2 linked regions of the Macaca mulatta genome follow. The protein of the gene in region 1 binds, or shares a complex with, the protein of each later gene. Links are inferred from orthologs where the notes say so. Each region holds a gene or a part of one and is shown in the gene's direction. Other genes may lie near its edges. The genes, in order: NUDT21 and CPSF7.

What was found.
Region 2: the proteins of NUDT21 (region 1) and CPSF7 are in contact, whole or in part, in a crystal structure (PDB 3N9U), measured with the Homo sapiens proteins. The link is inferred for Macaca mulatta from reciprocal best matches to the Homo sapiens genes NUDT21 and CPSF7. Residues at the interface, in NP_008937.1 of Homo sapiens: Arg68, Asn152, Glu154, Pro156, Tyr158, Tyr160, Pro162, Ala163, His164, Ile165, Thr166, Lys167; in NP_001129512.1 of Homo sapiens: Trp91, Trp92, Thr93, Thr94, Asp95, Gln96, Glu112, Lys114, Phe115, Glu117, Asn118, Arg119, Ala120, Asn121, Gly122, Gln123, Ser124.

Annotation. Positions count from the first base shown.
Region 1 is NC_133425.1:52,007,652-52,012,071, reverse strand, and holds the start of NUDT21 (cleavage and polyadenylation specificity factor subunit 5), read left to right. Parts: upstream 1-1,374; 5' UTR 1,375-1,506; coding exon 1,507-1,622; intron 1,623-4,420. Other genes in the region: prolyl 3-hydroxylase OGFOD1, read right to left, coding at 954-1,107. UniProt on the Homo sapiens protein: Component of the cleavage factor Im (CFIm) complex that functions as an activator of the pre-mRNA 3'-end cleavage and polyadenylation processing required for the maturation of pre-mRNA into functional mRNAs.
Region 2 is NC_133419.1:12,633,946-12,637,759, forward strand, and holds part of CPSF7 (cleavage and polyadenylation specificity factor subunit 7), read left to right. Parts: intron 1-1,603; coding exon 1,604-1,772; intron 1,773-2,437; coding exon 2,438-2,600; 3' UTR 2,601-2,605; exon of another isoform or gene 2,606-3,139; intron 3,140-3,814.

The DNA of each region.
Region 1 (4,420 bases):
AGCACCACCTACCATGTCCCAGGCCCATTATCTCATTTAATCTTTTCAACAGCTCTGAGGGAGACATTATCACTCTCTCCATCCTACAGATGTAGAAACTGAGAGAACAGAGCCTGCACTTTAACACTACGCCATCGTTTTCTATAGGCATCCAGCCTACCCAGGACTCACCTCTTCAAAGCACTTGACAACGAAAGAGAAATTACGGCAAACTCTAGAAGGGGATGCCTGGCGCATGAAGCAGAGCTCTGAACACATAAGGTGATATTTAAAACTGAGGCTGGAATCGTTCAACGTAGGCTCCTTTCCTTGGTCAACGCGCGTTTATTTTCATACAACATGGAGTCAAACTACAGGCGCGTAGAGACGAGTACACTAGGGAGCCGAGCTGGCAGCTCGCCACAAATGCCCTGGCTAGACTCTCCTGGGACAGCCGAGCAACGCCCTTGCAGGAGAAATGACATCAGCTACTCCCGTATTTGTCCAGATGTGTATTGGGCCTTACTCAGGGAAACATTTACTGAAGCTTGCAAGCATTAGTGTATTGCTCCCATTCACAGACTTTCTGACGTAAATACTATGAACTATCCCATTTTACTCAGGAAGCAACTGAAGTTCAATAAGGTTAATTCCATTGCCCGGCGACGCGCAATCAGGGGAGAGGATTCTAACTCAGTAATCTGTGACTCCAGAATGCAACTATCACTTGCATACCCTCTGCTTCCCAAAACTCTCCGGCCTCCATTTCTCCCTTTTCTCACATTTCTAAATTCAAACCGAATTTGGAGTGAAAGGGAGCAGCAGCCGAGGCAGGAGGATACAAGGTGGTCAAAGTCCTCCAAGAGCGTCTTCCCTGGCGGCCCCGCTACCCAGGGCTGCGCGCGAGTCCCAGGGCTTTTTCAGAGGTCCCCAGATCCCCGCGTGGCGGCCCCTCCCTGAGAGCACCCGGTTACCGTGACTGAACGGCGTCCTGCGGCTCCAGGCCTCAGCCACCTGCTTTTTCAAGGTTTCTTCCATAACAGCGTCCGAAAACTCCGCCATCACCTCCTTCTTTCCCTTTTTTCCCACCCGGGCTGGGCCAGGCTCCGCTGGCCGCTTCCCATTCATCTCCTCCCAAGGTACAGAACCACGCCACACTGATCAAGACGCTACTTTCCTGAGGGGACTACAATTCCCGGCATGCCTCCTTTACTGTGTTTCCAATGGGAATCACCAAAGCAAGAGGAGGCGGAACCTATACCCGGTTTACCAATGGGAGCTCCAGCTATTGCAGCCATCCCACCAGCTATTGGCCCAATGGCGCTCGGTCTGGCAGGCCACCTCCTCTCTACTTCCTGCCGCCAGAGGCTCCGGGTTCACTTCCGGCGTGCCTACGCCTCCTCTTGCGCTCTCCTGTTAATGGCGGGCGGTAGCTGCTGAGGGGGTTGCAGATAACCGCTTCCCGCACCGGGAAAGTCTCCCCTGCCTCCCACTTTCTGCTCGCCGCCAGCGCCGGAGCTCGCCAGCATGTCTGTGGTACCGCCCAATCGCTCGCAGACCGGCTGGCCCCGGGGGGTCACTCAGTTCGGCAACAAGTACATCCAGCAGACCAAGCCCCTCACCCTGGAGCGCACCATCAATCTGTAAGTGCGGGGCGGCCTTGGCGGGCATTTCTCTCGTGAGCGCTCCTACAGACACTCCCGCGCGTCCCCGGCTTTTCGGCGTGCTTCACGCCTCCGCACCTCCCAGCCTCCAACTCCCGCTGGCGGATGCGCGCCTTCCTCGCTCCCTCAGGCCCCTTTCTCATCCTCCTACCTCCGGGAGTTAAGAGTCCTTTTCTGTAAAGGAAGGCTTGTTCCCATCCTATGTATTCGGTCATAATGGGGAAAAACGGAGTTTGCTTTTAACTCATCCTTTCCCCACCTCTCCAGAGGTAACCAACTTCAAAATGTGTGTGTGTGTGTGTGTGTGTGTGTGTGTGTGTGTGTGTTTTATCCTTCCCGTGAAATGTTTATGCTTTGGCATCACGTATATGGTATTGCTTTGTGATTGTTGATGTGGTACGAATGGTATAACCTAGTATCATTTTTGCACATTTCACTCTGACAGTAAGCTTTCGAGATCCAGCTGTAATGCCTAGGTCTAGTTTTTTTCCTTTTAATTGCTACTTAAATATTTCGGTTTATGAATACAACACATGTTATTCATGTGCTCAGGGCTGTCTGCCCTGCCTCATGCCTTATGCCTTCGCGTCGTCTGATGATGTCTCAACGCCAGCATCCCAGGCACCCCAAGTAGGCCCCTCCTTGGGAGTAAGGATGCTGCTATGGTTGGGCTTTCAGACTGGAGGGAACCAGAATGTTTGTACCAGAAAACCCATTGTGGGCTGTGTTTTATTTTCAACACCTTTCCGTTTCAACACTTGAAACCATTGCATTTCAAGGTCACTCTCAGCAGCAGACTCGCTGTAGCAGGTAATTGACGTTTGAGATGTCTGAAGAAATTGTCAGTAATGCTTTTTAAAATCGTGTCTGAGGATTTGTTTTCGAGGCAACGTGGTGCCTCTATTTTCCTGATGGAGGAAAGTGGCCAGTTTATGCCAGTCTGTGTACAAGTGCAAGGATTTGGTGGTATTGATGTTTTCGTAGGGCAGTTTAGGTGTTTCTCTTGTTTTATATTAAAATAAATGGACGTTCTCTCTCCGTCCCCCAACCAAAGTGATTTGAAGTTGAAAAGATGGTTAACATTGTTTTATTTTGTAAAATGTGTTGGCTTGGAAATTTAGATGATGGAAATGCTGGGTTTATAAAATCTGGAATTAGTCGATAGTTGTGTGTATAAAAGTCCTCAGGAGTGGCGGCTCAAGACTGTAATCCCAGCACCTTGGGAGGCCGAGGTGGGAGGATCACTTGAGGCCGGGAGTTGTAGACAAGTCTGGGCAACATAGGCTGTCTCTACAAAAATGTTTTTAAAAATTAAGAAAAAAATCCATCAAATGGTAAAGGCAAATGTTATCCTTTTTAAAAGTATGAAAGCACAGCTTCTGGGTTACTTTCAGTGGTGATTAGAGCTAAAACCCACAGTCTTTTCTTGTTTTGTCTTGATTACTGAATTAATTTGCACCAAGCCATTATGTAGAATTAACTTGGCAAAATAGTTAGCTTTCAGCAAGATTTTAATCTTCGCTCTATTAAAATTATGGGTTGATTTACAGTACATTTCTTCTCCTATATAAATATAAATATTCAGAAATAATCATTGTGTTGTGAACTTAAGTTCACCTGAGTTAATATTAAGTTGAAAACAAATGCGCTCTCCCCAGTATATTTTCTTTCAGGAAATATTGCATGAATGCCTACTTTGTGCCAGGCACTGTGCACAATACTGGATATACAGTGGTGAGGAAGTAAGGTGTAGCCCCTGCTTTATGAAGCTCACAGTATGATGAGAACAATATGTATGTCTGGGCTGGCACTCTGATTTCACAGGTGAAAATTCTGACATTTCATCTTGACATTACTGATATATTGGAGCTGGCTCTTGCAACAGAGATGTGTAATGGCTATCCTTAATTCTTTCTAACTCAGGTTGTGAGAATTAAATGTTAATATATGTAAAGCGTTTGAAAAAATTGCCTGGCACATCGTGCTGTGTAGCATATCTGCTGCTGCTATGGATGATGGTGTTAGATTTAGCCTTGGGTCTACTGGGGACGTTCTTTAAATCTTTAAAGCATCCTTGAAATGGTATATTTTAATTATTTTATAGCTTTTTCATATGCCTAGAACTTGGCTTCTGAAATTAATTTTTTTTTTTTTTTTTTTTTTTGAGACGGAGTCTAGCTCTGTTGCCCAGGCTGGAGTGCAGTGGCCGGATCTCAGCTCACTGCAAGCCCCGCCTCCCGGGTTCACGCCATTCTCCTGCCTCAGCCTCCCGAGTAGCTGGGAGTACAGGCGCCCGCCACCTCGCCCGGCTAATTTTTTTTTTTTGTATTTTAGTAGAGACGGGGTTTCACCGTGTTAGCCAGGATGGTCTCGATCTCCTGAACTCGTGATCCGCCCGTCTTGGCCTCCCAAAGTGCTGGGATTACAGGCTTGAGCCACTGCGCCCGGCCTTAAAGTAATTTTTAAAGTTTTGGCAACCTTGATTTTTTCCCCCTTTCAAGAATGGCTGAGTGTAGTAGATGCAATAATGTTGACTATTAATGTCAAGGGCTTTTGGTAGAATAGATACTATAGGTGGGCAAATGTGGCGTAAATTCTTACTCAAAGGCTTCTTGCTGTAAGGCTTTAATTAAGGGCGTACGACATATAAGTATGGAATTTTTAAGTATCTTTAAAGAAAAATTTGATCCTTATTAGGCAAGATGAAAACTGTCTTTAACAGTTTGAGCCATATTTTAAATTCTTGGTAAAGGGGTGGGTAGAAGATTCAGATGAGG
Region 2 (3,814 bases), on another chromosome or scaffold:
GTTTCTCCATAGTTTCTATTCTTGTTGCCTTGCACAGAGGAAGCTGCCAGGCTTCATTTTCACTGGACCCCTGCCTAGATTCATATTTTCTTTGTATTAACTTCTGTCCTTAATGCTCTTGACTTAGCTTGGAAAAGCAAAGTGCAGGTACCCGCCCCATGACCACTATCCCTGAGCCAGGCATTGCTCAGAGTTGGGAAATGAAAGGTCTAGTTTTTTATGACAGCATTATTTTTTTTTTTTTTTTGAGACGAAGTCTGGCCCTATTGCCTAGGCCGGAGTAGTGTAGTGGTATGATCCCGACTCGCTGCAACCTCTCCCTCCCAGATTTAAGCAGTTCTCCTGCCTCAGCCCCCCAAATAACTGGCATTACAGGTGCATGCCACACCACCTGGCTAGTTTTTGTATTTTTAGTAGAGACCGGGTTTCACCATGTTGGCCAGGCTGGTCTTGACCTCTGGCCTCAAGTGATCTGCCCACCTCGGCCTCCCAAAGTGCTGGGATTACAAGCGTGAGTCACTGCATCCAGCCATAATTTTTTTAATGTATACATATACTACACATATGTATTTTATGTAAATAACATATATATACACATATACATCTGATTGTAGGTTAAAAATAATTTGTAGAAATACACATTGTTTAGAAAGTCTCATGAGGTACAGTGGCTCATACCTGTAATCCCAGCATTTTAGGAGGCCCAGGCAGGAGGATCACTTGAGGCCAGGAATTTGAGACCAGCGTGGTCACCATAGTGAGACTCCATCTCTACCAAAAAACTTTGAAAAATAAGCCAGGTGAGGTGGCAGGAGGATGGCTTGAGCCCAGGAGTTCAAGGATGCAGTGAGCTATGATCATACCACTGCACTTCAGCCTGGATGATAAAACAAGACCTGTCTCAAAAACAAAATAGTCCTCTATACAAGGACCACCAATAAGACCACCTTTTATAGTTTAGTATATATTCCTCCAGAATTTTTTTTGTGCATATGACAATTTATATATAATTTTTATTGTTTTACAAAAATGGGATATGGTTTTGAAATTTGCTTGTTTCAATTAGTATATTCTGGACACCTGTTATATCAACATATAAAATTTACTGATCCTTACTATGTGCCTGGCACTGTGCTAATGGCTTTACATGGATTACTTTGTTTACATACAGGTTTACCTCCTGCTTTTTAACAACTATGTAATACTCTATAGAACCAATGTTCCTTTATATAGCCAGATCCTATTGAAGATAATAAACAACACTAAAACACTGTTAAACATACACACTTGTGAACAGAAGTAGAAAATTTTTAGTAGAATTGCTGGCTCAAAAAATATGCACATTGTTTATTTTAATAGATGTCAAATAGCCCCTGGACAGCAACGTGTCAGTTTGTTCATCTGAAAACATCTGTCAGATTCTAAACCGCTGGAATATAGGTGTCATCCAGTTTTACATTTGCAACATCTGCCTCGTCTCTTTTACCGTGGTTGTTTAGGACAGCTAGCTACTCTTGGTTTGTGTCCTCCTGAGTTCTCCTTTTGGTCTAGTTAGTTTACCATCTCTCCTCACCCTTGGCCTTTCTCATTCATCCTTTTTCAGGGGATTATAGTGACGCTATTGAGACGCTGCTCACAGCCATTGCGGTTATCAAACAGTCCCGGGTTGCCAATGATGAGCGTTGCCGTGTCCTCATCTCCTCTCTTAAGGACTGTCTTCATGGCATCGAAGCCAAGTCCTACAGTGTGGGTGCCAGTGGGAGCTCTTCCAGGTGAGTTGGTGATTGTGTCCTCACCTACCAGCCCCAAGCAGCACTCTTCCAGGGATAGGGAGTATGGACAAATGGAGCCCAGGGAATCTGGGAAAGACCTGGCTGAAAGTCTGGACCTAAGCCTTCATGTCTTTATGGGGAAGAAACTAATCAGATACTTTCATTAATAAGTATTGTAACATCTGAAATCTGGTAGGTGAGGCATGGGCTCATGTAGGAAAAAAATACAGAAAGGTATTGTTAAGAACATGGGCTTTGGAATGCTACAAGCTTGGATTGGAATCCCAGTTCTGCTGCTAACTATCTGTATGACCTTCTTGCATATGGAAGTTAGTTAACTTTCCAAGCCTCATTTTTCTCATTTTTTAAAATGGACAATGATGGTATTTATCTTATAGACCTGCTGTAAAGATTAGGTCAGATAATCCATACAAAACTATTAGCACTGCACCTGATAAATTATGTTCTCAACAGATAAATTTACCCGTTAATCATCTTCCCAAAAAAGACTAGTCCTCAAAGAGCTAAAATTCTCAGACAGTGGGCCTATGATAGAGTAATAGAGGAGTAGTTTAGGCAAATATCGGAAGACACCAAAACACCACATTCTTTCAGAAAGAATGTGGTAGGCCCTCTGAGTGAGGCTGAAGGATCTTTCTAATTAGGAAAAGACATCGGTCCCGGGAAAGATCACCTAGCCGGTCCCGGGAGAGCAGCAGGAGGCACCGGGATCTGCTTCATAATGAAGATCGGCATGATGATTATTTCCAAGAAAGGAACCGGGAGCACGAGAGACACCGGGATAGAGAACGGGACCGGCACCACTGAGAAAGGTGGGAGAAGCCCCGTTCCTGGCTGCTGGGGGATCTTTTGTTAAAAAAAGATTTATAGTGAAGAGTTCTCTCTCTTTAAAGCAAAAGTAAATGCAGCAAGGGTAGGGGGAACTTCTGATTTACATAACTGGAATTGCAGGGCAGATTTTCTGCACATTTGTGGGGAATCTGACTCTGAGATTCACCTCTTTCTGAGATTTCTGCTTGTTTCTTAACTGAAAAGCTTGGTATCTGAGTGAGAGCATGGTGTCTGCATTCAGGCAGCAATTTGAATCCCAGTTCCTCCACTAATAATTGGCCATATTACTTTCTGTTCCACAGTTTCTTCATTTGTAAATGAAGATAATAAAAGCAACTGTCCCAATGACTTGCTAAGTTTTAGTGTGAGAGTCCATGTAGACCATTTAGCACTCATGGTACCTGTCACATAGTTCTCAATAATTAATAGCCATCGTTATTATTATGAACTTTCAATTTAAAAAATTAGGAAAATTGACTAAGAATAGTAACGCCATTGCCTACTTAGTTTTCAAGGTGCAACATTAATGATTTTAAGAATTAGGCTCGGTACAGTGGCTCACACCTATGATCGCAGCACTTTGGGAGGCCAAGACAGGAGGATTGTTTGAGCCCAGGAGTTCGAGACCAGCCTGGGCAACATAGGGAGACCCTGACTCTACAAAAAATACAAAAATTAGCCAAGTGTGGTGGTACACATCTCGTCGTCCCAGCTACTTAGGAGGTGGAGGTGGAAGGGTTGCTCAAGCCCAGGAGGTCGAGGCTGCAGTGATCTGTGATTGCACCACTGCACTCCAGACTGAGCAAACAGTGAGACCTTGTTTCAAAAAAGGTGGGGAGGAGGGGTAGGCGGGTGCCTCATGCCTGTAATCCCAGCACTTCAGTAATTTGGGAGGCAGAGGCTAGAGGATCACTTAAGCAGGAGTTTGAGACCAGCCTGAGCAACATAGTGAGACCCTATTTTTTTTTTTTGAGACGGAGCCTCACTTTGCTGCCCAGGTTGGAGTGCAGTGGAATGATCTTGGCTCACTGCAAGCTCCGCTCCCCGGGTTCAAGCCATTCTGCCTCAGCCTCCTCAGCAGCTGGGGCTACAGGTACGCCTCACCACGCCCAATGATTTTTCTATTTTTAGTAGAGGCAGGACTTCACCATATTGGCCAGGTTGGCCTTGAACTCCTGACTTCGTGATCA